Linked DNA regions of Struthio camelus. The protein of the gene in region 1 interacts with the protein of each later gene in a pairwise test. Links are inferred from orthologs where the notes say so. Each region holds a gene or a part of one and is shown on either strand. Other genes may lie near its edges.

The links.
Region 2: the proteins of VIM (region 1) and CRMP1 interact in binary tests that used the Homo sapiens proteins (3 or more experiments, as listed by UniProt). The link is inferred for Struthio camelus from reciprocal best matches to the Homo sapiens genes VIM and CRMP1.
Region 3: the proteins of VIM (region 1) and ESS2 interact in a two-hybrid assay, tested with the Homo sapiens proteins (2 studies listed by BioGRID and IntAct). The link is inferred for Struthio camelus from reciprocal best matches to the Homo sapiens genes VIM and ESS2.
Region 4: the proteins of VIM (region 1) and KIAA0408 interact in binary tests that used the Homo sapiens proteins (3 or more experiments, as listed by UniProt). The link is inferred for Struthio camelus from reciprocal best matches to the Homo sapiens genes VIM and KIAA0408.

What each region holds. Positions count from the first base shown.
Region 1 is NC_090943.1:23,968,597-23,975,530, forward strand, and holds the start of VIM (vimentin), read right to left. Parts: upstream 3,003-6,934; 5' UTR 2,868-3,002; coding exon 2,326-2,867; intron 2,078-2,325; coding exon 2,017-2,077; intron 1-2,016. UniProt on the Homo sapiens protein: Vimentins are class-III intermediate filaments found in various non-epithelial cells, especially mesenchymal cells. Vimentin is attached to the nucleus, endoplasmic reticulum, and mitochondria, either laterally or terminally.
Region 2 is NC_090945.1:73,512,373-73,520,048, forward strand, and holds the start of CRMP1 (dihydropyrimidinase-related protein 1), read right to left. Parts: upstream 3,005-7,676; 5' UTR 2,188-3,004; coding exon 1,816-2,187; intron 1,213-1,815; exon of another isoform or gene 1,198-1,212; coding exon of another isoform or gene 1,180-1,197; intron 582-1,179; exon of another isoform or gene 567-581; coding exon of another isoform or gene 516-566; intron 1-515.
Region 3 is NC_090958.1:9,799,940-9,807,223, reverse strand, and holds the start of ESS2 (splicing factor ESS-2 homolog), read left to right. Parts: upstream 1-4,279; 5' UTR 4,280-4,345; coding exon 4,346-4,495; intron 4,496-4,631; coding exon 4,632-4,800; intron 4,801-5,918; coding exon 5,919-6,014; intron 6,015-6,597; coding exon 6,598-6,764; intron 6,765-7,284. Other genes in the region: GSC2 (homeobox protein goosecoid-2), read left to right, coding at 1,034-1,337, 2,166-2,413, 3,003-3,107. UniProt on the Homo sapiens protein: May be involved in pre-mRNA splicing.
Region 4 is NC_090944.1:69,373,777-69,381,595, forward strand, and holds the start of KIAA0408 (uncharacterized protein KIAA0408 homolog), read right to left. Parts: upstream 3,015-7,819; coding exon 2,880-3,014; intron 1,217-2,879; coding exon 875-1,216; intron 523-874; coding exon 443-522; intron 1-442.

The DNA.
Region 1 (6,934 bases):
ACCAAAGACAGTACTTCTATTTAAATAGATGTAGTTTTTAAAATCTGCATGTTTAGCCTACCCTCTTATGATAAGTTAGATATTACTATTGTTCAAATTAAACACACTATAATACACTAGTTCAGACATACACAGATTTAGTGTAATATATCCACAAATATTTGCAATTTTTACATATTCTGTACCTTAGAGGTGAAACGGATATAGCTGGCCTAGCTGTACTGCACATACAGATCTGCTGGTGGCTGAGGTTCTGAATGACCACCCCCCCCCTTAAAGCATAAGCATTAACTGGATAATAAATGTTGTAGAATACGTATAAAACCAAGTTCATTAAGGCCTTGAGTCTAAGTCTACAAAAAAGTAGAATCAGTTTGAGATGGAGATAGCCATGCCTTGAAGTGGAACAATTGAGCATGCAAGATCTTTTAAGCCAGCCACCTTAAGTCAAAGGATCCTCCAGCTGAATTCAGCAAAGAATCTGACTAGATTAGATTCTCTAAAGTAAAGTTCAGTGCAGAAACATATGACCTTTGCACACGTTTAAATTGGCTTAGCATTCAAAAAAATCAGAAGCTTAAATTAAGGCTTGAATTTAATTCATACCTTGAATTCTTCTTTTTCAAACTTCTGTTCCCAGAATACTAACAGAGACTTTAAATTCCCAGACTTTAAATGACAGTTGCTGTCTTAATTTCTACATGTTATCTCATTAAGACATCTGTTCTCCTTTAGAGAATATAAGCATACTGCAGTTGAAAACCTTGCCCAAGAAAATATTGACAATCAAGTGATGACTTCTCGAATGGCGACATCTACTAATGTATATGAACAGCTTTGTGACCAAGTCAGATCTGAGCCCAGCTGTCTGTAGATAGAGGCGGTCACTTTCAGCTGGGAAGAATTCTAGCAATGCTGTTTCACACCAGCAGGTTTAGGGATGAGATCTTGTTTTGAGAAGGCGCATTCCTAAATATCTCCTAGTCCAAACAAGGCTTAAGCCAAACTGAAAGCTATTTTTGCACAAATGAAAACCTGAGCTTAGAGCTTTTTCAACACTGTTGGAAGAGTTAGTTCTACTTATCATGTAGCTTTTAGCTGATCTGGATAACATGGTAGCTTCCTACCGAGACTAAACTGCTTTCCTGTGTTAACAACTTTGTTTGCATAGGATTAAATTCTACATTCTTAAACCGATAAGAAGAGAAAAACTTGACTGCTGTGACCTCACCAAGGGACAAATGGTCTACTTATCAGCAGACATCAACACCAATACAAAAGAGTTTAACTTTAAAACTTTTCTAGTAGCGCTATGAAGTGATTCATAAAAAAAGGAATTCTGTTTTGTATAAGGCCTAGACCATATACATGACAGACACTTTTCTCTAGAAATATGCTTACATCATTACGCATTTAGTAAGAATGCAGCCCACTGCACCCTCCCCTCGGACACAAAGAGTTCTATTATTTCAATCTGCTGCCACCACACTTGCCATAATGCCTGTATCTGCATTCCACGGTGAATCCCATAGAAACCATTAATACCCTTCAGCCAAGCGAACAGATGGCTCCCCTTTCACTTTTATTGGATCAGAAAGTGATTCCACATCGGAGCCCTTTTGTAAAATAGGCTAGACTTGGATAAAGCAAGACAATAGTTTTTACCCTCCCCCTTGGACTGTGGCATCAACCTAAAGAAAACAAGGAGATTGTGCATGAGAACCGATGGAATTCCTTTGTGCAAGGGAAGCACAACTCCAAGTCCCACTCTCCCATCCCAGCCGCTACCTCAGGACTTTCTCTCCCATACAGCGGTTCGGGAACGGCAGCTGCTTATTTCGAGCGCGCTTAAAATACAGGCGGCTGCCTTGTTTGTTGGGTGCCCCGGGGGAGCGCGAGTATTGCAAGTCACCGGCGGCGGCAAGGCGGCCGCGGCCGGGACGGGCCCGCCGCTGCCGCTAGGCGGCCCCCTCCCCCGCCGCCCCCACGGGCCGGCCGGTCGGGGCGGTGACCAACCTGTCGGAAGGTCTGCAGGGTGTTCTCGGCCTCCTCCCGCTGCAGCATCTCCTCCTGCAACCTGCGAGCGGAGAGAAGCCGGTGAGGAGGGCGCAGCGCGGCCCCCACCCGCCCGAGAGCCCCCCGCCCCCGGCCGCTCCACTCCGCACCGCCCGCGCGGCGCGGGGGCTGCGGCACCGCCCCGGCCCGCCCGGGGGCAGCCGGGACGGCGGCGCGAGGCCGGGCCGCGCCCGACCCGCTCCCCTCGGCCCGAGGGGCGGCCGCCGCCGCCCCCCTCCTCCTCCTCCTCCCCCCGCCCTACACACTCACTTCTCCCTCAGCCGCATGATGTCGTCGGCGAGGTTGTCCCGCTCCACCTCCACCCGGGCCTTGTCGTTGGTGAGCTGGTCGACCTGCCGGCGCAGCTCCCGCATCTCCTCCTCGTAGAGGTCGCCCAGGCGGGACGTGCCCTTGCCCTTGAGCTGCTCCAGCTCGGCCAGCAGGATCTTGTTCTGCTGCTCCAGGAAGCGCACCTTGTCGATGTAGTTGGCAAAGCGGTCGTTGAGCTCCTGCAGCTCCACCTTCTCGTTGGTGCGGTTCGCCTTGAACTCCGTGTTGATGGCGTCCGCCAGCGAGAAGTCCACGGCGTCGTGGAGCCGCATGGGCGGCATGCTGCTCCGCAGCCGCACCGACGTCGCCTTGGTGGCGTACATGCCGCCGGGCGAGGCGGACACGTAGCGAGCGCTGCTGGGGCGCAGGGCGCTGCCCAGCGAGTAGCGGGTGCTGGAGGTGATGTAGCGGGTGCCGGTGCTGGGGCGGCTGCCCCCGCCGAACATCCGGCGGTACGAGGAGTTCTTGGTGGTGATGCTCATGGCGGCGGCGCGGGCTTTGTAATCCGGGAGCGGAGGAGGGCGGCTCAGCTGCGCGGCGGCGAGAGGCGAGCGAAGAAGAGCGGGGGGCGCCGCCCCAGGCCCTACTTATGGGGCGCCGCGCCCCCTGCCGGGCCCGCCCCGCCCGCCGCCCGCCACCAATGGCCGCGCCGCCCGCCACCGCCTCGCCCCGCGGGGAGGGGGAGGGGGAGGGGAGAGGGAGGGGGAGCGGGCGGGGCCGGGGCGGGGGGCGCGGGGGTTTGCAGCCAGCCCGGCCCGGCCAGGACACAAAGGCTGGCGCGAGGCGTGACTCAGGGCCCCGCGGGAAGGGGCCGGGCGGGATGCGGCGGCGGCAGGGGGCTGAGGGACGCCGGCGAGGGGAAAAAGTAACGGCCGGCCGCTCTCCCCCTCCCCGCAGGCAGCCCGCGGCATCTCTCCCCCGCTGCCGACTGAGTCCCCAGGGCCGGCAAACCTCCCCCCGCCTCGAGTCCCGGTGGGACCGCGGCCGTCCCCGCGGGCGGCGGCTGTGGGGCGGCGGCCGCTGAGGCGGGAGCGGGCGGGGGGCGGGAGCGGCCGTTGAGGCGGAGGCAGCGGGCGGGGGCGGCCGTTGAGGCGGGGGGAGCGGCCGTTGAGGCAGCGGGCGGGGGCGGCCGCTGAGGCGGGGGGTCCGGGGCGTAGCGGGGACCCGGCGCCGGGGCCGCCCCGCCGCGCAGCCGCCGGGGCTCCCCCGCCTCAGCGGCCGCGCCGCCGGCACGGCCCGCGCTCCGCCGCCCTGCGAAGGAAGAGGCGGCGGCGGCGCCGGCCCCGCGCTGCGCGCCCGCGGGGGTCGGCGCGCGAAGCAACATCGCTGGCGGGGCGGCAAGGCGCGTTGAGCTAACCCTTGAGTTTGGTGCGCTCCTGCGCTGACTGAGCGCCGTGACTTGCAAGGAAGGTTGCCAGTTTTAAGGTTAAGCCACAGCCAAAATACTTCAAATAGCACAGCACAGGAGGATTATTAAACAAAAAAAAACAAAACAGTATAATCTATCTGCTGGAGAACTTCTTTTTTTCTTTTCTTTCTTAGCTTTCTGAAACAATGCAATCAGGGCAAAGTGTTATTAACTATTCACAAAGGGCTGCCAAATGTCCAAAATAAACAGGCAGGGAAATAAATTGCCTGTGTCTCCTTTTGTCATTAGCTGCCTCCTGTCACAGCAATCTCAGCTTCTGCCCCGGTGTTAGTTCAACGCCTCTGTTCAACACACGTTCCCAGGCTATACGCCTTTTCCCTTTATCTGGGTGAGCGTTTACATGGCTTAGTGAAGAGGCACACTGAATTCTGTCATTATTTTAACATTGGTCCCAGGCCATAAGTAATTGTTTAGCATACGTTTTTGGAATAGCTGCAATGAAGATCTTGCTCCTGCTCTTGGATGCAACCCTTCTCATAACTAGGAGAGAGGCAGGCTTGAATTTAACCAAGGTTTGGGTCTGCGAGTGTTGTACCCAACAGACGCTGGCATTGATTTCAGTAGGCACAAGATCAGAATCTTAGGAAAGCACCCAGTGAAATGACAAGTATTTGTTAGTCACGATCTGGAAGTATCCTCTGTCTGTGGCTTCAGATAAAAATCCCAGGGATTCAAGAGCAATTTTACTATCAAAATGGGGCTACCAGTAACAGAGAAGAATGATATAGGAAGTACAGGGCAATAGCAATATTGCATGAAATTTGGCAGTAAAAAAACTCCTTAAGATTGATTTCTGTATGAATGTAGAGAGATCCATAATGTAGTACTTCAGCATCTATGGGATGCAAAACTACCATTAATTTTTAATTGTTTTTAACTTGAGGTCCTGCAGAAGCAAATATACTTACTGGAAGTTCTGATAAACCTGAACATGAACACAGGGCACAGAGGAAGGTAATTTTCGCATCCCAACTCACAGTCAAGTCAGCCTGCATTCGTCAGATATTGTACCTCATGAGGAGGAATCGGAGCACAAAGGATTTTTTGAGGATTTTTTTAAAATTTTTTTGGTATTGGAGATTGTGCTTTAGTTTGATTCTGAATGGCGACCAGAAGTTACAGGAACGTAGTTTGTAGCTAAACGTAGGTCTGTGAGGTTTTAATTTGCTATTGTTCACTGAAGCTTAGTCAAGCAAACGAAGCTGACAAGGTTGAGCTACTGAAGTGCTTGCAGCATGAGTCCTGGTCTACAGCTCATTTCATTCAGTCCTTGAATAGGAGGCAGAGGTCACACAGCATTCCTGGGGCTGACTGTACCGCCATCCCAGCCCGGCCTCTGCCGGGCTCTCCAGCCCTCTGAGAGCTCTTTATTTAAGCCATCAAGTCTGAGCTATAAGCCTTTGTGAATCCTGGCACAAAAGTACACACTCCTTGTATGAGCAGGCAAAAAAGTAAAGCAGCACATACCAAACAGCCTCATAGATTAAAGATGCTTTACTCAGAAGTGCTGGGAGTTTTAAGAGATGGTTGTTTTTTTAAAGGTGCACTATTCCCATTCAACCCTCTGTTCTTCCTAACAGAAGATAGTTTATTTGTACTCCACAAAATCTCTTTATGGCGCATACATGCAGCAGTCATCCTTCACTCAGAAACTGCTTTGCCCCTAAAACTCAGGGAGGTGTTTGTTTTAGCAAATACATTTACCCCTTTCCTCCATGTTTCAAGTGTAATTTCCATATGTTATGTCACTTCTGCCATATGTACTCTTGGCCACCTGCCTCATTGCTGTTTCTCACTATCAAATTTTCCTAGAAGTGTTATGATACTGTCAATTGCCAGGATTACAATAAACCTGTAAGTGCCTTTTGCTGGTCGGCACTTACATAGATACCTAAGTAGAGTAAGCTCTACATTTCCTGTAAGGCTGTAATAAACGTAACCCACATTTGCATCCCAAACCCCAAAGGGGAACTAGAACTGCTGTCTTCTTGAAGTGCAAAAAGATATCTACAGAACTGGTCAGGAAATAATGTATCTAAGTGTAACCATAGAAATCTTGCAGAGTGTAGTTGTTTGAACTGAAACCACAGTACTCTGCCTAATTTTAAGGAAAGTGCTATGGGATTTTCAAAGAGCATGGCTGGTCAGGAGGCTGACTACTACTTATGCAAAGGATACACAGCTAATAGCACATCACTGAACACCACACTGAGGATTATTCATGAACTAGTCCATTAGTAAGGGATCATCTGCACTGTTTCTTGTTATGCCTTCATTTGTAATTCCAGTACTCCGACAGGCTGCTCCTTCAGCTTGCTGTACTGCTCTCACCTGCATTTCTGTAGAGGCAGATCAGAGCTAAGCCACTGGCACACTTAAGAAAAGAAACAGAGATTTTTAATATGAGCCTTTCAGTTCCCACAGCTAATTTATTTTGGTATTTTCTGCCTTTTCACCAGGGAATTGATGCATTGATTCACAGCCAAGACTGAAATAAGGAATAAGGCTGAATAAGTGTCACAAAAAATATTGGATTGCTGTGTAACTCTCATTAACAGTGAATAACGGGTGTGAACAGGGAGAAGGTACAGATGCCTAAACTGCTTTGGTATCTGTTCTACTAAAATTGGGAAAGTCTCATGCAACCCAAAATTTTTCTGACTTTCTTGAACAACTATGTGTAGGTCTGAACACATTTCCAAAAATAATGGCATTCATATTTTTTGATTTGCCATTTTATTTAAGCAGTAGGAAACTAGAGTAAGTTAGCCCAGACACTGAATGTGCTTTTCCATTACTACAGACTTCTGCTAAACAAAAAGATTTGAATACTTTCATTAATCAGATTTGTGCCCTTTAATAAAGCTTCTACTTTAAAACATGAAATGCTCATTTTTTCCACGATGTATAAAATGAGCCATAAATATTAAGCATCCAGGAAAAATATCCTGCTATGCAAATGCAATCACTTTTGTTGTCAGTACGATAAAGCAACCTTAAATCCTTTTCAGAGGATGGACTGGAATGCATTGCGCTATGGAGACATTTCTTCACATTTCCCATGGCCCCATGAATACTGAGTAAACTCCAAGCAAAATGGACCAGTCTGCACATGAGGAT
Region 2 (7,676 bases), on another chromosome or scaffold:
GCACAGCCAGGCCACATGGATGTTATGCTAGCAGCCACAGAAGAAGAAACGTGCTGCTAATTGAAACCTTTCCATCTTTCTGACTCACAGAAGGCCTTGCCCCTCGCCCTGTGCCGGACTAAGGCGCCACGCGCAACCGCAGGAAGAATAAAAGGCGCCACGCACCTGCCCCCAAGTTACAGCCCTTCCCAACAGAAAGGAGCCAGGTGCACATTGCACACACACAGACCCACCAACACACACATATACAAGGTATTTCCCACCCAGGCCACATTCCTGACACTTCTCCCCTGAAATGGCCGTTGAGGGTTTGCAAGAAAGCCCTGACGACCAGTGTGCAGGCGGCAAGCATGTGGCTGCAGCTGACAGTATGGCCACTTATCACGTATCACCTCCTTTACACCCTGGCTCCTCCGGACCCCCACTTCACCCCTACCCCAATCTAATCCAGAGCCAGACAACTTTGGAAACACGGTGAGACCTGCAGAGGTAGCGTGTAATGCCTGCCCACTCACCTGGGTCCCAGGCTGAACCAGGTAGCAGCGCCCGAGCAGGGAGGAGGGCATCCAGGGTGACCCAGCGCAAGGAGGGGACATTCAGGATGTGCCCTGGCCCCCCACCGCCTGGGGGGGGCGGGTAATGGGAAGGATGCCAGGGTTACGGCGAGCCAGGAAAGAGATGACTGCACTGCAGTTGGCAGCCGCTATAGGTGACCCCGAGGTCGTCGCAATCAAGCGGAGGCGGTGCAGGTGCCTTGCCCGACCGGGCGCTGCTGGCTCTCCCCAGGGCGCACAGTGCAGCAGGCACTCCCCAGCTGCACCCCGCACCCTGCCCCACTCCCGGGCGGACCGGGCCAGCACCCGATTCACGCGCTAATGGAAGAATAGGAGAAAAAAGTGAAAACTCTTCAGTTTAACTTGTCAAAAGGGCAGAGCACAGAGAGGCCACAGAGCCTCCAGGCTGGGCGCTAAAGGAAAGGATATATCTATGCGATGCAAAGTGGCTGTATTGAGCAGGAACATCACTGCAAGGCTGCGTTTATTTATAAGGGGAAATCATTCACAGCCTCCATTCCCCGGAGAGCCAGCCCCCCTTGGTGTGCCTCCGGCTTGCATGCCTTATCTGGGGTAAGACGGAGAAGCGAGGCTGGTAGGGGCAAGACGGAGCAGCACGCTTTACCTTAAGTCTCCAGCACATTCCCAGGCTGCAGCCGAGGAGGTGGGAAACTCTTGGGCAAAGGTTTCGGAAGATCCCGGGGAGACAATGAAAGCGCACGGGGCTGCAGGAGGGGAGCCTGGAGTGAGGGGTCCGCCGGGGCCGGGGGGAGCCCGTGTCCGAGGCGGGGCCGGGCCGGGCCGGGCGCGCTGCGCTTTGTTCGGCCGCCGGCGCCGTCCCGGGCGGCGGCACCGGAGGGGGCCCGGGCCGCCCCCGCCCCCGCCCACCCGGCATGTGCAGCTCTCCGCCGGCGGGAAGGAAAACGCAGGAAACTCATCGCCATCACTTACAAAGGGAAACAATTTCTAGGGTTCTTCCTTCCCCTCCCCCCCCGCAAGCTCAGGCAAGTGAGAGAGTTGACGGGTCTGGCGTGGGCCGGACGGGCTCTTCCTACAGCATCATCGTGCCAGGAAAGGGGCGGGGTGGGGGGGAGGCCGTGCCTACTCGGCCTGCCGTGCCGAAAGTCACCCGCGGAGCCGGCCCCGGCCGCCGCGGCACGGTGACCCCCCCCCCACCCCGACAAGCCGCAGCGGGGCTCTGCAGCGGGGCTTGCCCGACGTGCGGAGCCCCGGCCCCCGGCGCGCCCTCAGCCCCTCGTACCTGCCCGTTGTCGTGGCCCTGCAGCAGCTCCTTCCCCATGGGGTAGCGGATCTCCACGCCCGGGGTCTTGTCCTCCCGGTCGCCCGGGGAGCTGATCACGGAGCCGGAGACCTCGCTGATGTCGCTGGCGGTCTCGCTGTAATTGTCCCCTCCGTCCAGCATGTCGTGCCGGCTGCCGCTCCGCGGGGTCCGGGACCCCTTCTTCCCCACGCTGTAGGCGTCGAAGTCGATGGTTTTGTTCTCGTAGGCCCCCTCCACAGAGGCGAACATCCCCCCGTATTTCTGCCGCGGCGTCTGGGCTGTCGTACCCGGCCTAGCTAGATACACGGGCAGGTCATCTTCTTTATTCCAGTTCCTCTTTCTCTCGGCCATTCTCGCTGTCCAGATCTCTCCCGCCCTCCCACTCTCTCTCTCTCTCTCTCTCTTTCTGCCTCCCGCTTCTCTGCACCTTCCACTACTGGGATAGGCTGCTTGAGACCATAAAAATGAATGGATGGATGCAGCAGTGGCGGAGCTGGGTTGGCTGGTGGGATCTTTCCCTTAGGGAGATGCAAACGTTAACCTCCCTCCCCCCATCCAGCCCCTGCAAGAAAAAAAAAATAAAAGAAAGAAAGGAAGAAAGAAAGAAAAAGAAATAAATCCAAGCGGAATTTAAAAATAGCCGTGTTAGTAAAGAGCACGTGAAAATAAAGTACAAAGAGAGGAGAGGAGAGGGTGGCAGTAGCAGGTGATTGGAAAGCCCTTGACGAATGGGAAGAGCAGCAGCAATTCCCAGAGCAAGGACCGCAGTGCACACGCTCCCCCGGTATAAAGAATGAGCCGGGGGGCGGGAGGGAGGGGAGGGGGGAGCCCCTCGCCTGCACACGCAGCCGGCGCGCAGGGTCCTTCTTGGCGGGCCCTCCGGACAGACCGCCCGTCACCTGCTGCTACGTGGCTTCGGAGGAATTTTTAAAAAAGGAAAAAAAAGAAAAAAAAAAAGAAGAAGAAAGACACCCAAATCTCCCCCCGAGCGAGCCGAATGGAGTTGCTCCCACTTCGCACACTCACGCTACCCCCCCGCTCCCTCCGCAGGAGCAGGCTGCGGCGGTGCCGCCGGCGGCGGGGGGGCACAGCCCGCGGGGAGGGAGGTGGGAGGACGCAGGGGCCCCGGGGGCCGCCCCAGGCCGTCAGCGGCCGCCGCGGGAGCCTCGGCGATGGGCGCAGAGCGGGGCGGGGCGAGGAAGCACAGCCAGACCCAGGCCCCGGGGCAGGGGGAGCTGGCGCTGCCCTCTCCCTGCCGTGCGTGCCGAGCCGCGGCAGCTGGTGCCCGGGGGCTGGGGGGGGGGGGGGACCGACCCCGCTGCGCCCGGCTGCCACCAACCGCTGTGCTTGCCCCCCCCTCCCGCCGCGGCGGCGCTGCGAGGGCGCCCGGGGGCGGCTGCGAGACTGCAGCGCGCCGCGGAGGCAGCAGGCACCGCGGAGGCGGCCAGCCCTGACACGGAAGTGGTAACGCCGGCCGCTGCCTGCGCGGCCAACCCTGCCGCCGCCACCGCCACCGCCACCGCCACCGCGCGTCGGCTCCGCGGCCCGCACTGCCCCCAGCCCGCGGAGCCCGGCGCGCCCCCGCGGAGCCCCCGCGGAGCCCGCGGCGGCGGCGGGAGCGCGGCGCCCCCCGCGGAGCTGTCCGTTCAGCACCCCCGAGGCGCCGGGCGGGCGGCGCTGCGGCGGCCGCGCTGCCCCGCGCCGGAGCGGCGGAGAGGGTCGCTCCCGGGTACGCGCAGCCCCGGCCGGGAGCTCACGCTGCCTCTCGCCGGGGCTCGTTTCAGTAAACCGGAGCTAACCGGCGAAATTTGACTCAGAGGACTTTCTGACTTCAGAAACGCCGATTCCCAAAATAAAGGCAGGAGGAATGGAGAAGGTTTTACTCTCAACTCTTCGCACAGCCCACTTCAGAAGGTCTATCTTTACATCTCTGCTTGTCTTATAATGCTAGGTGCCTAAGGCGGTCATCCCCTGAAGCCACAAAATCTTGGACATCCCTCTCCCCTTTCTCACCCCTCCTATTCCCCCCTCCCCCCCCCCGCCATCTTAGACAATTTTGACAGGCCCTGAACACACCAGCAGTTACATAGGGAACATTCTCTGTTGCTCTGAAATAATACATTGAAACAAACTGTTCTGCAATTGATTAAGTGGCTAAGCGTATCTGAAGCCTTGGATCAATCACAAGAACTGTTTACTGCTCATGTGTAACACTCTCATGTCGTTTGAACACAAGCCCAGCCACACAGCACTATTATCTGCAGCCCACAGGTGTGCCTGGTGGTCCTAGCATGAGAAAAATGGCAAGTTATAAATGGATTAGGAGAAGCGGGAGGTTAAAGAAACAGGTTGTCAGGATTTCATGGGAAGGATGTCCAGATAAGCATCTTTCTCATTTACAATTACCCATGCAGTAAAACCATGCCATAAGCAGTGATATAACATCCCTGAACTTTGCTGTAACACATCAGAGGACAATATCTTTCTCTCCTGAGCTTTTTGTAATGCAGTGGTATTTCCTGTCTTGATGTCCTTGAACACTGGTATGTCATTTACACGAGGGGAGTTAGAGAATTAGTCAGAAGTTCACTGATCATTGATTATTAATACTCAGATTTTAATAGTCTCAGCATCATGACTGACATTTCTGAACATATATACATTTTCACAGCTTACTTAATAAACCTTGCTACTGTATTAACATATGGTAACAATGCTAACACAGAATGTGTTAACATGTTATAATCATATGAAAATTGTATTGGTATGTGAAAAAATAAGTATAGTTCCTAGGACATCACTTTCCTAAATACTTCTTGTATATAGGCAAATATTGTTTCCTTTTCCTTAATGATAACACTGAGATTTATTGATCATATTGGAAAAAAAAAGATCAGTTTGTTCCTCCACAGGATAACAAACCCTGATAGTGAGATATGCAGGCAGTACATGTAATTTCATTTATAGTACATGTAATTTCATTTATGTCTTCTTAAGTATTGGGGAAATTATTCATTTTACTGGGTTTCTCTCTCTAATCAAGCGATGAATTAGAACCTCCAGAAAAAAATATTTCTGATGATCCCATAATAGGTGCCATACTACATGGTGCGTGTGTCTGATAAAGAATTCAGAGCTGAATAGCATCTTTTCTTTAACATCTATAAAGCCAAGAAAGATGGACTCTATTTACACTCTGGATCTGATTATATAGCACTGCTCAGTTTTCTAGAACTGCTCACTTTTTTGAAGTAACAAAGAAAAAAAAATTCAGCATTAGCTAGCGTATTCTTCTTAGTGATAATACATAAAGAGACCACAAGACTCAGAACACGTCTAATCATTGCTTTAGAAAACAGCATTAAACTTTCAAGTGAGAAATAACAGCATAAAATTCTATGAGAATCTTCCTTTCCTCTTAAACGGAAATTCTTCATATTATAACCCTTAGTTTATTAAGAACTGTGTTCTAACTGGACAGATGCATACTGTTCTGCTGACTAAGAGATGAAATTGTAGCTTTAGCTGCCACAGAGGCAGACATAGCTACAGCCTCATACACTGTCTTCCTGCAACCCTGCAAGTTTATCTAAAAAATGCATGTGGGACTCTGGAGAAATATACTGTCTCGGTATAGTCTGCTGCAGACCCTGCTTCTCATCCTGTCTTGGCATAACTTGGTGAAAAAGGAACAGAACTTGGTCAAAAGTGTCCCCTCTTCCTATAGAATCTTTAGTCTTTACACCTATATGGGATCAATGATAAATAAATCATATTCAGAGCAGGCTAGATGAGAGACAGTGGAAAACCTGGAGACATGCTTGCTTCATTCCACAAAAACTTTCAACAAAAGTCTTTCGAAAAAATCATCATTTACCAGCTTGCTGGTTATATCCAGCACTCTCCTTGCAGCAGTGCAAATGCCATGAGCTAGAACAAAACTTCCCCGGTGCAGGGGCAAATCCTGCCACAGTGCTCCTAGTACATGCAATTTTGCACCTATTTTTGCTAAGTTGTATCGCACATTTTACAACAGAATCATCAGACAGAAAGTGTGAAAGTCCAGAGGGAGTCAGAATAAGACAGCGACTGGGATCCAAGTTTTCTTTCTCCCAGATGAGCAACCTGAGTTGCAAACTCACAGGGTCAGACTCCCTCTCTCTGCTCTAAAGGACTATTGTATTCCTGGCTGCTGTGTCCTCCTCCTCCTCCTCCCCCCCCCGCAAAATCCCATCTTATAGTTTGGTGGTTTGGGCTGTGTCCTGACATGTAGGAACCGTGGGTCCAAAACCCCATTGGCTGAGGAAGACTCAGGTTTCCCACTTCTTGAACAAGTGATCTCCCCAAGCTTTTCTGATAATTTGTATTAATTATGATAATTCAGCAAAAGCTCAATGACAGCACCCCCACCAAGAGAAGCAAGAGCTCAGACACAACCATTGCCTTACCCTCACTAGTAGCAGACCAATTAGCTAGCGCTTGGTGGCCCCTTCCTCAGAACAGAGACTTTCTGGGTCGGTGTCCAGGCATACAGTTTCTCTTGACTCGACCACGTAAGGAAATGTAGGTATCTAAGGTTGGTGTCCCATACAGTCTTGCTAGTACCAGATTTCTAGGTTTCAAAGAGCATAACTCTCAAATTAATGATCCACAATAACTAACCTGAATCTTGCCCCTTGACATTATACCAATGTATTTTGAACTAAAATTAGATCCAGTCATGTAAAACCAGCTCATGTTTTGCAAAATTCTGTGACATTTCCTGCGATACTTCAGCCCTGTGTTTCACTTTACATCACAACACACAAAGGAAAATGCACCTGATGCTCTGCATTTGTTCCCAAATGTACAAACGTGCCACCTTTCACGATTCCCCACTTAATATGAGTTGCATTTACAACTATATTTCACAATCTCCACCACTATTTTAGAGTTAAAAATAATTAAAATTATAAAGTTTTTAATTTAAAATATGCATACATTTAATATACAAAATTATACAAATTATACATTTAACTAACATAGAAAAATACATCTTGTTAACAAGATAGAATGTCAACTTATCTTACATAATTTAAGTGAGAGTTACAAATCTGTGATAATCATCAAGTAGACTTTGTGACTGCATTACAGTTCTGTATGCTCCCTAGTTACACTGAAAATTAATACATATGTACATTTGATATCTGTGACAAGTATCTTAAAGTGAAAGTCGTTGCTGAAAAGTTAACCATAAGGTTTTAATGGACTAGCTCAAGAGTGGCATCTTTCATATTACTGAAACATTATCAGTTATCTTCTCTACCTTGACACCCAGTTGCAGGGCAGTCATGGGTAAGAGTTGAAACTTTTTGCACTTATTTACAAAAACAAAACAAAACAAAACAAAACCCAGCTGGTTCATCTAATTAATAAGTATCAAACCATAAACCCCAAGCATTTTGTGCGCTCTTTGGCACTTCTTCAGATGGATCCCACTTTATGACCCTAACAACTGCTCTTCGTGACTTCTGGCTAGCATCACACTGTTGGCTGTTCGAAAGAACTAAATAGCTGCGCAGCACTAGAGCTCAAAAGCCAAGACCTGCACATATTATACATCCCAGATTTTTCATTAATACCAAAGGAGGTGAGGAAATATCTTTTTTCCAGTCAAACAAATGTGTGTAGTAAGTCTTATTTACATGATTACTTTTTCAAAGTTCCAAACAAAAGAGAGAAGCTTAATTTATAAACAAGTTACAAAAATCTGTTCCATGCTGAGTCTTGTCTTGCATATTGTGAGGCATGGAATGATTTTCTTTTAATTATTTACATGTTCTTTAAAACTAGTTTCTTAT
Region 3 (7,284 bases), on another chromosome or scaffold:
GGCCTTGCTGTCTATGTTTGCGCAGAGGCAATGCTCATCCTTGCCCCTTCCAAACTCTGCTGTAACTCTGAGCAGAGCTACAACTGATCTGCTGCCCTTGTGGGTGGCTGTACCGCAGGTGACTATATGCCACTAATCTGTGCCACAGAGGGGCTGTGAGCTGCCACTAATCTAATTTATTAAGGGCTTTGAATCCTTACAAAGTGTATGTTAGATACATGCAAAGCATCTGCATTGTTACTGTGATTAAAGCAATGAAGGTGGGGGAAAGGGGAAGGAGGGAAAATACGATTTCTGTGCTCTGAGCAGAAAATACATCAACTTTCACAGAGAGTTCTCGTGCAGCCAAAGGCTAGGCTATCACTAAAAATGATTTTTCATTAAGCTGAACTCTCTTTCTCTGTTATATTGTATGATATGACAGGTCTCTTTTGATGGGAAAGCTTTCATTTGGACAGAGAAAGGGATAATTTGCTTCTTTTAAGGAGTTAATCCTCCGGTCCATTTCCGGGCTGGGAACAGCTATCCTCCCCCTTCCTTGGATTGGAGGCTCCAGCACAATGGAGATCATAACCACCTCAAATCTACACCCGAGATGGAGAAATCAGATTTCCTTCTCGAGTCATTTCTGTGGGATTAGCTAAATCTTAGATCCACACTAACCCTTCACAAAGCTGCCAAGATTAGTTAGAATTTATTTTATTCACAGAAGGGTTTACGATTTTCTTTCCAAAGGGATTATATCTCTCTCTATATATATATTTAGGATGGCTTCAGTCATAAAGCAGCTAGGTTAGACGGAAAGTGCATGTGTGGGTGTGTATAAAATAAAAACCTGGGTGCAAGAACGACAGTCACTTCAAGCTCCAAGGCAAAACGGTGATTCTGGATGGCTTCGCTGGTCTGCTTTAAAAGTTATGTGAGTGTAAGCAGCCTTTTTCCTTGTAAGACCCCACTCCACAGTTAGTTCACAAGAGCCAGCGCCGTTCAGCGTTGAGCTGCCCGCTCCCACGGCCGCTGCGCCTGGCACAGGATGTCTTCGGAGCCGGCGTCGGGCGTCGACTTCAGTAGGAGAGGCCTGAAGAAGCAGTGTTCATTCAGCATCGAGAACATCCTCTCCAGCCCAGCAGAAAAAAGCCCTCAGGTCCTGGTCCCACTGTGCCTCCAGGGGCTCTTGGACTGTGCACCCAAGGGGCTGTGTGAACTGGAGGCCGTCGCAGCCAGCTCCCTGCCGGACGAGGAGGAGGAGGAGGAAGAGCTGGAACGTGCAGGTTGCAACTGCTGCTGCTGTTCTCACACGAGCGCCCATTCCCTGCAGGACTCACCGAGTTGGCTGGGTGAGTGTTTGGGCTGGATTCACTGCATATGGCAGTGGAAGGGGCATTACAGCTGGTGCTAACACTGGGTAGAAGGGAAAACCTGGGTATATAGTAAATACAGTGTCTGGCCTACCACATTGCCACGGTGGTTTTCTTAGACCTCAGCTCCGGCAAGGGGTGGCTGGACCTGTTCTCAGCACTGCTTCTAAGAACAGGCAGTCCTGCAGTGCTACTGGGTTTTAAAAACTGCAGGTGCTATTTGTTACTAGGCACTGATGTTTTATTGTAGAACACTTACAGAGGGTGATGCTTCTAGGGGTGGGAGTTCTCTGTGGAGCATGGGCCCCACGGTCATGCTGCCAATGGCCAGAGCTGTGCCTGCTCTTCTTGACAATGCTGGCTGTGGGGAACGTCACTTGTCATTTAAGGGAAGGATTTTTTTGGCTGCATCTAGCAAAAAAAATGTAGCAAAGCCTTAAAAATGTGGTTCAAGAGCATCCTGAAGGCTCAAAAATCCCCCATTTCATTACTGAAAGACATTTCTTCTCTTCCTACCTGGTCTGTGGGTTTCCAGTGATTTTCTGGAGCTGGGCATATTGCGACTGCTAAGTAAATGAGGAAAATGCAGCCAGCACTTCCTTCCTGCACGCTTCTCCCGAAGTGATGCCGTGAGCCTTTCTCTTGCTTGCATCATGATCATGCAGCTTTTCACCCACTCCAGCTGGCCAGCTGCACCTCCTTCGAAGCCACACGTGTGGATCCAGCTTGCACCTCAACTGCCTTGAGCAGGATCTTTATTTCAGTCCTTTGTCCCCAACGGTGTTGACTGTAACTCTTCCTTTGCAGACGCCAGGTTCCCCTGGCCCATGCGGCTGTTTCACTCTGCGGTCAGGGCCTGTAAGAGTCCCCAGGGGAGCCCGAGCGAGCTGCAGACCTTCCACCAGATCCAGAGACGGACACGCCGGCATCGCACCATATTCACTGAGGACCAGCTGCAGGCCCTGGAAACGCTTTTCCATCAGAATCAGTACCCAGACGTCATCACCAGAGAGCACTTAGCGAACCGCATTCACTTGAAGGAGGAGAGGGTGGAGGTGAGATCCTGCCATTTGGTGAGGTGCCAGGATGAGTATTTTGCCATTCTGTTTGCTGAAAGCACCCCCAGGAGAACAGAGTCCTGGGCATTGTTCTGTCTGTTTCAGGGCTGCAGACCCAGGGCCTCATTTTAAAAACCACTTTTAGGTATTTGAGAAAACACAGATGGGTATTTGGCATGTAATGGAAGAGTATAAAACAGTTCTGCTGGCTTGGGTTATTTTGGTGGCCTGGCCCCATGAACTTTCTCATAGATATACCTATATAAATACACACACACACACACACACACACACACACGCGCGCGCACGCACGCACGCACGCACCTAATTCTGCTGATACAACTCTACACCCAAGGGTATATTCTTTTTTTCTGTGGCCTGCATGACTTTTGTATTTGCCATGGGGGTCCCAGCTGGATAGATCTTGTATCAAGTGTACTTTGCAGGAGATTTTACATTGGGAAATGCATAGGTGTATCCTAAAGCTTAGTGCCACCCTGTAAAGTCCAGGAGGGTAACTGCCTCACCTCTTCCAAGTAGCAAATGAAATGCAGAAATTCTTCCTTTCTTGTTCTTTGCTTTTCAGGTTTGGTTTAAAAATCGACGAGCCAAGTGGCGGCATCAGAAGAGGGCATCTGCTTCAGCTCTCATCCTTCAAGGCACCAAGAAATCCCCTGAGGAGAACTGTTAGTGGTGTTAGGCTGCATCTCAGCGGGTGAACACCAAGAGCATCGCTTTCCCTTAGCCATCAGATTCTGCAGTGGGGTAGCTTGAGGGGAAGTAATGAAGCAAAAGGGAATCGTCACGATTCTAAGAGGGGGAGGGCAGGTAAAAGCAGACAGTGTACTTTCAAGCCTTAGTTCTTCCAAACGTAGTTCATGCGGCAAATAAATCCTGAGGCATGAGCCTCAGATGCTTAAGCAGAAGCAGCTGCCAAAAGCCAGTGCAGGGGCAGAGCTGCATCAGTGTTAAATGTGTGTGCTTCAAGAGAACGGGGGATTTCCCCCAGCTTCTTTGCTCTGTGCAGGTAGCATTTGTGCTTGTTTTGCTACTATAGATTTACAAAATATTCAGCAAATGTATGTTCACGATTTGCAGCACCACGTGGCATGGAGAGCTGCCACTGGGGTCGATGTGGAAGCTCACTGACCGGGTGATTTGCTCCTTGAGCAAACAAACACGGATTTCTCCCTTACGGCCTGAGGGGAGAACAAGTAACTCTTGCCGAGAGCAGGAGTTCGGCTCGCCTCCTCGGCTCGTCCGTGCCGCAGCTCGGACTGGTAGTGCAGCTCCTCGTTAGCGTATTTGTGTGTGTGTGTCCCTGGCCGGCCCAAGAGAAAACACGTCCTGTAAAAGAGCGAGGTGAATAAAGCTATCCCCGACGCACGTCTACGCGCTGTGCAACACGGAGCGCGGCGAGGCCCGGCCGCCCTTACCAGCCCTGTCCCTTCCCGCCGCGACAGGACCCACCGCCCCCAGCCAGCCCCGGCTCGCGTCGCAGGGGACCCGCCGAAGCACAACCGCCCCCCCCCCCGCCGCCCCCGGGCACCCCAGCTCGCCGGCGGCCCCGAGCCCCGGCAGGCCCGAGCCCGAGCCCTTCTGGGGAAGGAAGACCCCTCCCCGCCGGGCCCCGCCGCCCCCGGGGCCAGGCCGCGCCGTTGCCATGGGAACCGGCCGGGCCGCGGAGGAGGGCGCGGGGCGGGCTTGGCCTGCCCTGGCGGCAGGGGGCGCGCGCGCCGCTGCGACGCTCTAGCCGCGCGCAGCGCTCTATGACCCCCCCCCTCCCCTCCTTCCCGCTCGCCCGGGTGGGGCGGGGCGGTTTGTGCGGGGCTTCCCGGCTGCCGTTCGCGCAGCGGTGTTGCGTCACGGCGCGTTGCGTCGGCGACGGCGGCTGAGGAGGGACACGGCGTTGGTGGCCCGCTCGGCGTTATGGAGGCGGCGGCGGCGGTTCCGGCGGCCTCGTCCCGCGCCCTGGTGCCCGCCGGGCCCGAGGGCGCCGTCGTGGCGGCGGGGCGGGAGGCAGCGCAGCCGGCCCCGAGGCGCCCGAAGAAGATCCTGGACGAGGAGGCCTACATCGAGGTGAGCCTCGGCGGCCCCGAGCCGGCCACCCGCGGCCCCCGTGGCCCGGCCCGGCCCGGGCTGACCGCGCTGCGCAGCTGGGCGCGACCCCCCCGGCCGAGGAGTCCTGCGCTTACAGTCGTCTGTCTGTTTGCAGAGCTTAGAGAAAATCATTCAGCGGGACTTCTTCCCTGATGTGGAGAAGTTACGAGCGCAGAAGGAATATCTGGAGGCCGAAGAAAACGGTGACTTGGAGAAAATGAGACAAATCGCTATCAAGTTTGGTTCCTCCTTGGGCAAATCGTCAAGGGACACCCCCGCACCCTGTAAGAACTGGCTCGCTGGGGCTGTTTTCACGTTCAAGCTACGAGTATAGAGGCTTGCTACAAAAAAGTTTGTGTTTTGTCACTTTTATGCCAAGGGCTATGCAAGAAGGAGAAAAAGTTATCTTAACAGATTAGGACCTCAGCTTTTTATTCATTAGGTTTTCTTTTTTAAGACATAACAGCTTATAGCTAATGTTATAGTTCCCTTTTATCTAACTTTGTGCAAGCAGTGATTATCTTAAAGAATCAAGATTGACGTTGTGGGGGGTTTAATATACTAGATTGGGCAGTAGCCAGTATCTGATCACCAAGTAATTTAGTACCTACTGCTGAACTTGACTTTGATGGTGTCTAATAATTCCTTGAGGGAATTGTTCTTTGGAAAAACAGCTATAGAATAACTATTCCCCATAGGCATATTGTTCCAAGTCTTGTTCTTGAGAGGCTGTTACTTGCTCTAACTTGCAGTATTATACTGTCAAAAATTCTAGACTGTTTTTGAATCATTATTACAATGTTAGGTATTTTTGCTGTATATGTAGAGGTATAACACTGTAATATATTGGGGACAGAGGGTGTTGAAAGTTCATTATTATCAGAGCTTCACATAGCAAGTATCAAGTGTGCAGTTGTATACTTGCTTTAAGATGTTCAGATATTTCTGAAGCTAGAGCCCAGTGCCTAGGTAAGTTCTTGCTATGGAGTATAGCTCGCTCTCATGGCAAAGGACATGTGTCACCAAGCGGCTTCCTTTCCTTCCCCTATCGTAGGTGCTGGCACTGACCTGGGTTAAGGTTGTTACCACATTAACATTGCTGCCTGCTTTTTTTGGGTGAAGCTGTAGACAGTATGGCAAATATGTAGGACTGCAGCTGTTCTGTATTGTTTTCAGTAGAAGAAAAATAATGTCTTAGATGGAAATGAAATCTTGTTAGTTTTGGAATTGAATTGCATAGACTGTTTTGAAGTCTTTTCGCACCTTTTTAATTCAATAGTTCTTCTCTTGATATGTCTTCTATGACTTATTTGGCACATGATCCTTACTATGCTGCAAAATGTCACAGGCAATGTCCTGCTCTGTGCTCCAGTAACCACGGGAATCTTTTTCTTTGTCACAGATGTTACTCCAGCCACATTTGAAACCCCTGAAGTGCATCCAGGTGGTCTTCCGCTCGTGAATAAACCCAAGGTTGGCATCAAAGCTGCAGAGGAAGGTAAGGGAATGTTGTTCCTCGTTGAACTCTTCAGCAGCAGGAAAGTACTGTTGTGAGCTCTGTCTCCTGTAATGGTTTTATAAGGAGTCTCCTTTAACCTTATGGTAGTGAAAATAATCACTCTGAAGTTGGACGTAATACTTTACAGCTGTATGAATTCCCAGTTGTGAATCTCTAACTGAATTGAGAATTTACATAGTCATAACATTTCTTTGAAGACAGTAAATTCTTCCTGCTGTATGAAATTAATTTTGTCAGTAAGCAACAAACCAGGAACAAAGCTATCCATATAGTGGTACTGAAAATGTCTGCTAGCATCTGGTCACTCTTGTGTTTTTCCTTTAACATGAATAGCTATAAATGCCATAAAAGGTTTTATGTGAAAATTAGTTATACATCTTCTAAAAAGAATTTATTATTGTACTATTATGTGTGTACACTTTTTTCCTCTCACAAGCTTTGTAATTAATTATTAGTGGGTCAGTAGAAAGCTAGCTCTGAAGGGATTAAGAGTTATGTATAGCTCCTTTCTAGAAAGGGAAGTGTTAATCACTTTCTCAGGCTTCTTCCCTCCTCTTGTTAGGAGAAGGAGAAAAAGATGATAAAGATGTACTTCCCAGTTTGGACAGCTTCTTAGCAAAACACACGAGTGAAGATAATGCTTCATTTGAGCAGATCATGGAAGTGGCTAAAGAGAAGGAGAAAGTCAAGCATGCTTGGTTGTACAGTGCAGAAGAGGAGTATGCCCAGGTAGGGAAATGGCTCCAGTGTATCTATGTTCTTCTGAAATGATACAAAAGGGAAAATGCCATCTGTTTTTTCCATCTGTAACTCAAGGACAATATTGACTTAGTCACTGAGGAACTGAGGATCTGTCTCTGCCTAGACCTTTGAAGCTGTGAAGCACAGCACTAAGCACAAGTATTAGTGTTCTGGACAATCTCTTCCGTAAACACCAATACAATGGAGAGCAGCTGAAGAACAGTTCCAGTTTTTTGTCCATCAGCCTTTTATTATTTGCGGTTAGATGTTTTCTCTCATTTCAGCTTTCTGTTTCTATTACCAGTAATAATCTGTTCAGCTGGTGATACAAAATATTTTACACAGTATGGCTAGCTATGCTGAAGAATTGTCTTCGGCTAGCTTAGCAGGAGACACAGGAGATGTTTTGGGGCTGACATGACTTTCTTGATCAGCAGTGGTAAGCAGCTGGCACTGTTGCCGGATGTCAGTGACAGATGTAAGCTGCAGTGCTTTTTAATGAAGTTTG
Region 4 (7,819 bases), on another chromosome or scaffold:
TTTGGGCTCTTGCACTCTCAGTCCCTGACATTTAGGGCTGGATCTGGTCTTAACACAAAGAAGCATCCCATCCTAACATACCCATGTAATGTTGTATAAAATTGCATGGAAATGAGATAGGGACAGCCAGAAAAATCTTTTCACTCTCCTAATCCCCCTGTGTAGCCATTGGAAAGAGGTACAATTTAATCTCATATAAATTCTAATGTCATTTTGTAGTTTCTATAGATAAACTTTATTTTTCAAGTAAAACATGGCCTTGAGTTACATTTCAGCATATGTCATTTGAACGTTTTACTCTGAGCACTGAAACACTCAGAGGATGGAACCTACCCAGATCCTAATATTTCAACAGCACCCTCCCCCTTCAAAATGAATAGAAGCACAGTAAGTCTCATTCATTTTCTTTCTCTAACATAAAGAGGTCAAACAATGTTTTTACCTTCTGTGGTTGGACTTCTTTCGAATTTCCTCTTGATAGCTGCATAATTCTTCACTAACTCTGGCAAGTTCTTTAAGAGCCTTTATAAATATAAAAATATTTATTTAACATAAGCGTTCTTAAATGGTACCTCCAGAATTATTTTGAAACTTGTGGTGATTTACATATAAGAATCAGAGCAGAGCAAAGTAGCACAATGAAAGTGAGGAAAATGCCCCCAAGTTATGAACTGAGGTAAAGAACATGCTGTTAACACATTTAATCAGTGATAAGAAACTCATCAATAGCAAAGTGAGAAAGAAGTAGAGGAGGGAGTAGCAGTCCCTTGCTGGGAAGCTAAAATCAGGGAGATCAGTTCTTTAGGTCTGGCAGGCCAAAGGCCTCACTGTTTTCCTCACCCTTCTAACTGAAACATGCTAATACTTTACTTACTACATTGAGATCACCAATGTAATTCTTGGCATTTTTCTTGGGAGCTTTGATGCTGACGCTATCTTCAGGTTCCTCATGGTTCTCAAAGGCCAGATTGTCCCTTAACGGATCATTGCTTTTCCTCTTGGCTCTGGTTTCTTTACAGTCTTGTCCTGTTTTACTGAGCAAATTCTCTTTTTCCATCCTGTCATTTGCTACCTTGTATTGATAATTCAGTTCGGCTGCGTCACTCTCTTCCGAAGCAGGGGAACACATGGACAGCTGCAGCATCTTGCTATGAATGTCCTTATTATCGTATACGTTCATATTGTTCTCCCGTCTAAGTTTTACCTCCTGGTAAAGCTGAAAAAGAGTAAAATGCTCTGTTAAATCATGATACTCCGATGACCTTTATGATGAAAGAACATATTTATCTTTTTTGAACGATGCTTCACTCAGTAACATTGGGTGTGGGTAGAAAGAGTTGATATATGCAGATGACGGTATTTATAAGATATCTCTTCTCTTCTTCAGCCATGTGCCTTTTGGAAAGAAATTGCAGGAAACTGAAATCAAGGGCAGCTTAAAAAACAGCTTAAAAAGTAACCTTAGATATCAATAGCCTCAGAACATCTTCTGTAGTTTTGTCTGGTCCTGTACCACCCAGGTATTTGCTTCATTCATTCTCTTGCCCTCCACTCCTACTTTTTATCACTTTTTCACCCTGTCATGCTTTCCTAACCCACAGGCTAATGAAAACATATGGAACACACATGGTCTTTGCTGTTGTTATGAGGACTTCTAATAATGCTATCACATCAGAATACCTTATCACAACACACTACCTTCATTCCAGAACGACTTATAAACCAAACAAAATGATATTCAACTGCATACACAGATCACATCACTAACTTTTGAAGCATTCTCACCTTGGTGGTAAAATTAAGTAAGACAGCACAGAAATGACATAACACAAAAAGGCAGAATGTGGCCATGACTATCATACCAAAGTCCAAAAGAACTGCTGGCAATATATAAGAAAGCTGACATTATGGAGTTATGCTGCAGGCTGAGGGCAGTGTATGGCTGCAATTCATTTGGCGCTGATCATTTTCCTTCTCATATTTTCACGTGAGCAATCTCTGCCATACATTCCTGTGCTGCTCAGCCACAGGATGATGTTGGCAGTGAGCAAGCAAAACTACTTCATGCGTATATTAGAATGAAAAATGTGGAAGGCTCACTAATGAGAAACTTGCCCATATACATTGCCAAGGAAGATTCAATTTGTGCATTACAGAGTGCCAGAGGGTTCTGCTGAAGTGATAATTTGGGGATAAAAGAATAATGAATAATTGCCTAAACTATTTCTAGAAAGAGATGCATTAAAAATGGCAGACAGTGAGTGTTTGTTACTATGTGTGAACGCAAGCTGTGTCAGGGCTTTCACGATACTTACTGTAGCCATTTTCTCGGCTAAATGTCATCCATAAATGGAGTAGATCTTGCCAGAATAATTCTGCATCATACAGTGTTTGATGTATGACATTCTTTTTAATATTACTCTTTATGCCAGCAGACTTGTTCCAAGCAACTACTTTTTACCAGAGAATTATGTTATGATACCTAGATTGAAATTTTGCTACTAAATATGCGTTTTCCTAAACCCCAGGTCTGTTCAGCATGTCCTTACTTGTAAAAAGCATGTATAAATGAGCACTGTGGCTTATGCTCAGAAGAACTGGCAGCAGTATATGCAGCCAACATTATAGCAAATTTGACACAAAGTAATATTTAAGCTCCTACTCCTTATTCATGATTAAATGAGCAGTTGCAAATACTTCTTAACCCCAGGCTCTGTATCCTACCATCAGCTATTAGAAACTCCCAGTGACAGATAGGGAATAGGAAATAATTCACAGAAAAATTCATAGAAGTCTCTATAGTCACTCTATAGAAGTGATTCTAGTCACTGACAAGACTGAAGTGAAATGTCAGTGTTCAGAGTTTTGTCTAAAGGTACCTCTTCTATTTTCTTCTGCATGACCTTCCATTGACATTCCCATTCTTTCCTTTCATTGTCAAATCTCTCCAGCAATTCCATCTTCTCTTTATTCCAATTCTTTTCAGTATTCTCCAGTTGTTTATGTAGGTCCATGGCTACAGTTTGTGCAACAGCAAGAAGATAGCTCTGCGTTTTTCCTTCTTCCCTGAATGTTTCCTGGAAGTTTATCAAAATAAGTCTTACTCATATTTGATTTTAGCTTTCAGGAAAAAACTATCAACAACCTCCCCCCTACCCCCAAAATAATTAACTCACATGTTTTTGCAAGAGACAGTATCACAGGATTGCATGATCTATATCTGCAGTATGACTGTAATATGGAAGAACTAAGCATCATGGGAAGCAAACCTAGGAGTACATAAGCCCAATCTGAAAAGGCAAGGAGCGATGCACATCCAGCATCATATAATCCAGGAATGTCTGCCACAATAGGCTGCGTACTGTGGCCACTTCACATATCTGCCATCACTCTTCACTAAACCTGCTTTCAATGAAATTTGAGTCTGCATGACACCGAATGGCACTTTAGCACCTTGCGATCCTGCAAGGTCTGCCCCTGAGGGTGAAAGCTACGTTTGTCTTTGTTCAAAAGACAACCATAAATGTAAAGCTGTAGTGTTTGCTCATGCAATCTTTTCACGCACGCATGTAGCATGACAAAGATTATGGCATTCTTCTAGCAATTGAAGACTATAAGCTTCATACATGAAGCAAATTCTCATGGTTATATGAATGCTTTAGAATACATGAAGGAAAACAGGAAAGAAAAGCTACTTACATGTTACAAACACGCATTCAGTAGAAAGCATCATTCTAATATATAAAGAACCATAGAGCACTACAAAGTGTTAGTGTAATTTGGATATACAGATCTAAATCTAGAAACATTAGTTCCAGGACCAACTTAGGGAGAACTAGAACCTATCCACTGATTGCACTAACTCAAACATAGCTGGAAATCTGTTCTTTTGACGTTGGGGCAAAACAGTTATAGATTTGATGGGCTGGTCATCCTCTTGCTTTCTCAGCTTTGAAAATGGAAATTCCACTATTATCAGCACTTTTACTATGTTAACAAGGCCAAAAAACCCGTTCATTCAGTTACAATGGCTTCTGTGGTGTAGGCTTCTGTAGCGGCTTGTACATACACACTGATACTCGAGTTTGCTAACTCTGTCTCCCAAAGCAAGCTGTTGTGTTACTTAGGTGGACAAGGAATCTAGTTCTAGTCACAAAATGCATCTGAACTGCTTTGATCTCCCACCAGAAAGTAAGCGTATGTGCAGACAAACAAACTATCATAGAGTTAACTAGGGGTAAGCCCTGTTCACCCTTCTGGAGTTTGTTCACTTCCCTGACCGACAGTCAGTGCTTGCCAGCTCACAGGAACTGCTCATTTTATCTTCTATATTTTCTTTGCTATAGTGAATACTCATTCTTGAGCTTCCTGCAAAGTTCTTCCTCATCCCCTATTTTATTAGGCAAGTCATGTTTATTCAGCTGTGGCTCCTATGCTTACCAGTGTCTGCATTATTTCAGCTGACTGGTGAGCTGATGCCAAACTTGGAATCGGCTTCTTTCATTAACAAATAAGCAGAGAGCTCAGCTGAAGTCCAACAGGTTGCTTGGGTCTTTGCATCATATGAAGTCCTGCTACAGGATGTTTCAACTGACAGCTACCAAGGGCCCAATTCAAATTCAGTGGTAGCAAAACTGTTCACCCCAAAGAGTTTTGGACTGAGGTCTTAGAGAACGGGCTGATTATGTTCTGAATATCTCTGCCAGGTTGTTTCACAATTTCACAGTGGGGTCACCACGTCACCACGTAACATGGCATTGGAGTTTAGCTCCTTCAAACTTTTCTTCACAGCTGACTTAGAACTCTGAAATGGCAATCTGTCCCTGAACTATTTACAGAGATATTTCAAACCTTTTCTTTTTCCAGTTGCCTAGAAGCATATAGAGCAGCTTTACAAAAACATAAAATTCCCTGAAACTAAGAGAGCTGCTGAAAGACAATACAGCATTCTCAACATAAGAGAAGTCAAACTCTGGTTTGCTCATGGCTTCCTTGGGAAGGCAGCCAGGCTATAGAGACTTTACCTCTCCAGACCAAAGTTTCAGCTTTGTGCCAAAGATTTTGGTTAAGTGTTGATCAAAAACAACTTACTAAAATCCTGCTGCATTAATAATCTATTGCAATTTAAACATCTATTGCTAAAGAACTTTACAACCATTTCAATGCTTTCTCACTTTGCTATTTCAAAGGTTGTAACTTTTGGTGCAGTCATTTGCTTTTTTTTTTTTTTTTTGCTACATTTATGCCTTTATAACTTTTTCAAGACATCTCAGAGAGATATATCAAAATAATTTCTCTATTGACTCTGCTTCTCCAGATTCTTTCAAATGTGTGTCAGAAAGAAACAGATAAACTGTGGAAACACTGTCAAGTCATGAACTAGAGATACAGGCAAAATCTGCTTACAAGTTGTACAAATCATGAGTCACCCAGTACACCATTAGTAGTAATGAGCATGACTCAATCAGCAGCAATAAATACGTATTACTGGAGAGAAACTCAAGACTATACATTATAATCTTATATATACATATCAGAACAAATATATAATCTGTAATCCTTTCCAGCATGCATACAGCATTAAAAGACTGCTCACGGTTTCTTAGTGCTGGGAACCATTATTGCCATGTTTGCATCCACCTTAACAATTTACAAGCTGTTTCATATGGGACTCTAATTATAGAAATAGATTGGATACCATCAAAATGCAATAAGGTCTTGGAAAAGGTTACATACTGATAGTTATGTGTAGCTCCAAGCTCCACAGCAAACTTGTACTGCCTCTTTCGCTTCTCTGATTTCCTTTTGACACAAATACTGAGAAGGAAACTCATGTTTACTGATGCTAGCAGCTGGATGACTATACACTTCTGCTTCTTTTCTACGCTGGATAAATTCCTGGGAGAATGTTAAATCCTATCTCTTTGTGTCTCTTTTCCTTTTTTGTATGGGGGGGAGGGGGGTCTGTCTGATTTTTTTCCTACTTGGGAACCAGGAATAAAAATCTAATCTGTAGCCCTGGTAATATACCCTCTGTCTGTAGTCAGTACTGGGATGTCCTCATGGGCCTCTCACATGGCTTATACAACCCAATAAGACACAAAATGCCACTTCTTTTTTATTTAAAAGTCTATTTCCCTTTTATGTAAACAAAAGGCAGGCATGATTTTAATTTTCTGTGTGGAACAGAACACTATCTGTGTACTTCCAGTATTGGCTTTTTCTGCATGTCCTAGACAAGGTCAGAAACTCATTACAGCAACCAACTTCAAGTAAATAATCAATTTTGTCTACATCAGATGCATTTTCCCTTTACTCTTCCTCTAGCCCTCCCTCCTCTCAAGCAAAAAAATGTTTTAAGCTAGTATTTGATGTTAATGTTACTATTGCCCTATGTCTTACCTATGTCCTTTCTATCTACATATTAAAAATACAAAATAGTTTGAAATCAACCTCTCTAACTGGAGTATGGAAATTCTGAAAATAAACTGTAGTGTTACCAGTAGAGAAGATTTTTTTTTCAACACAGATTAATTAGATTGCGTGTGCACAACCATTCGGATATACAAGTCTTCCCCCGATTTTAGAAAAAAGCTATTAAACTGTATTTCTAACAAGGTGCTGCATTTTGGATGACTAAGGAAATTGTAAAATTATTTATTTATTTACCCAGTTAAAAAAGAGTGACAGGTGTTACATTATTGTGCACTTTATATCTAAAAAGAAATGACATTTGAAAGAGAGAGGAAGAAAAAAAGAGAGGAAGAGAGAGAGAGGCAGAAAAAGAAAGAAAGAAAAAAGAAAGAAAGAAAGAAAAGATAGAAAGAAAGAAAAGAGAAAGAAAAAGAGGAAGAAGAGAGAAAAAGGGAAAGGGAAACGGAAACAGAAAGGGAAAGGGAAAGAAAAAGGAAAAGGAAAAAAGAAAGGGAAAGGGAAAAAAAGGAAAAGGAAAAAAGAAAGGGAAAGGAAAAGAGAAAGGAAAAGAGAAAGAGAAAGGAAAAGGAAGAAAAAGAAAAAGAAAAAGGAAGAAAAAGAAAAAGAAAAAGAAAAAGAAAAAGAAAAAGAAAAAGAAAAAGAAAAAGAAAAAGAAAAAGAAAAAGAAAAAGAAAAAAGAAGGAAAGAAGGAAGGAGGGGGTGGAGGAAAAGAGAGAAAGAAAGGAAAAGAGGAAAAAGAGGGAAAGAAGGAAGGAAGGAAAAGAAAAAGAAAGGAAGAGAGAGAAGAGGAAAGAAGAAGAGAAAAAGAAAAATATAAGGACTGAAGTGTTCAAAATGGTACCTATCATCTGTATTTGGTTAATATATCTGTCCCTGCTCTGGAGAAACTAACTGAACTGATCAAGTTCAGTTCTGTACAAATAAAGAACAAGCATAACATACCTAAATGCTGCATAACATATAAATAGGAACATTAGAGAGATGTTTAAGTAACTGTTTGCCACATTAGTAATTTTCATTGTTTTTTAAATCTTAACAGTTTAAAACTGTTCAAAAATACTAATTTAAAATGAAACAAAATCATACCTTTCATAGAGTAAGAAATCCTTTAGAAGTTTTTCAGTCCATTTCTAAACAGCAGTGAAAGCAATGAAATGCATAGCTAGCTGAGATCCAGTTCTGCAAATCTTGATCTTTAAAAGGAAAAAGAAAGCTAAACAAGATACAACCTTTCAAACAGGGCAGCATTTGCAAATCTCTTTGAATAACTCCACAACTTTTGCAAACTGAAAAACAGTTCCGTTTAGCATCATCCTAGCAGCTGGCCTCTATGTGACGTCAGTGCATGGAGGATGGTTTTAAAGCCATCTCTTCCAACCCCCAG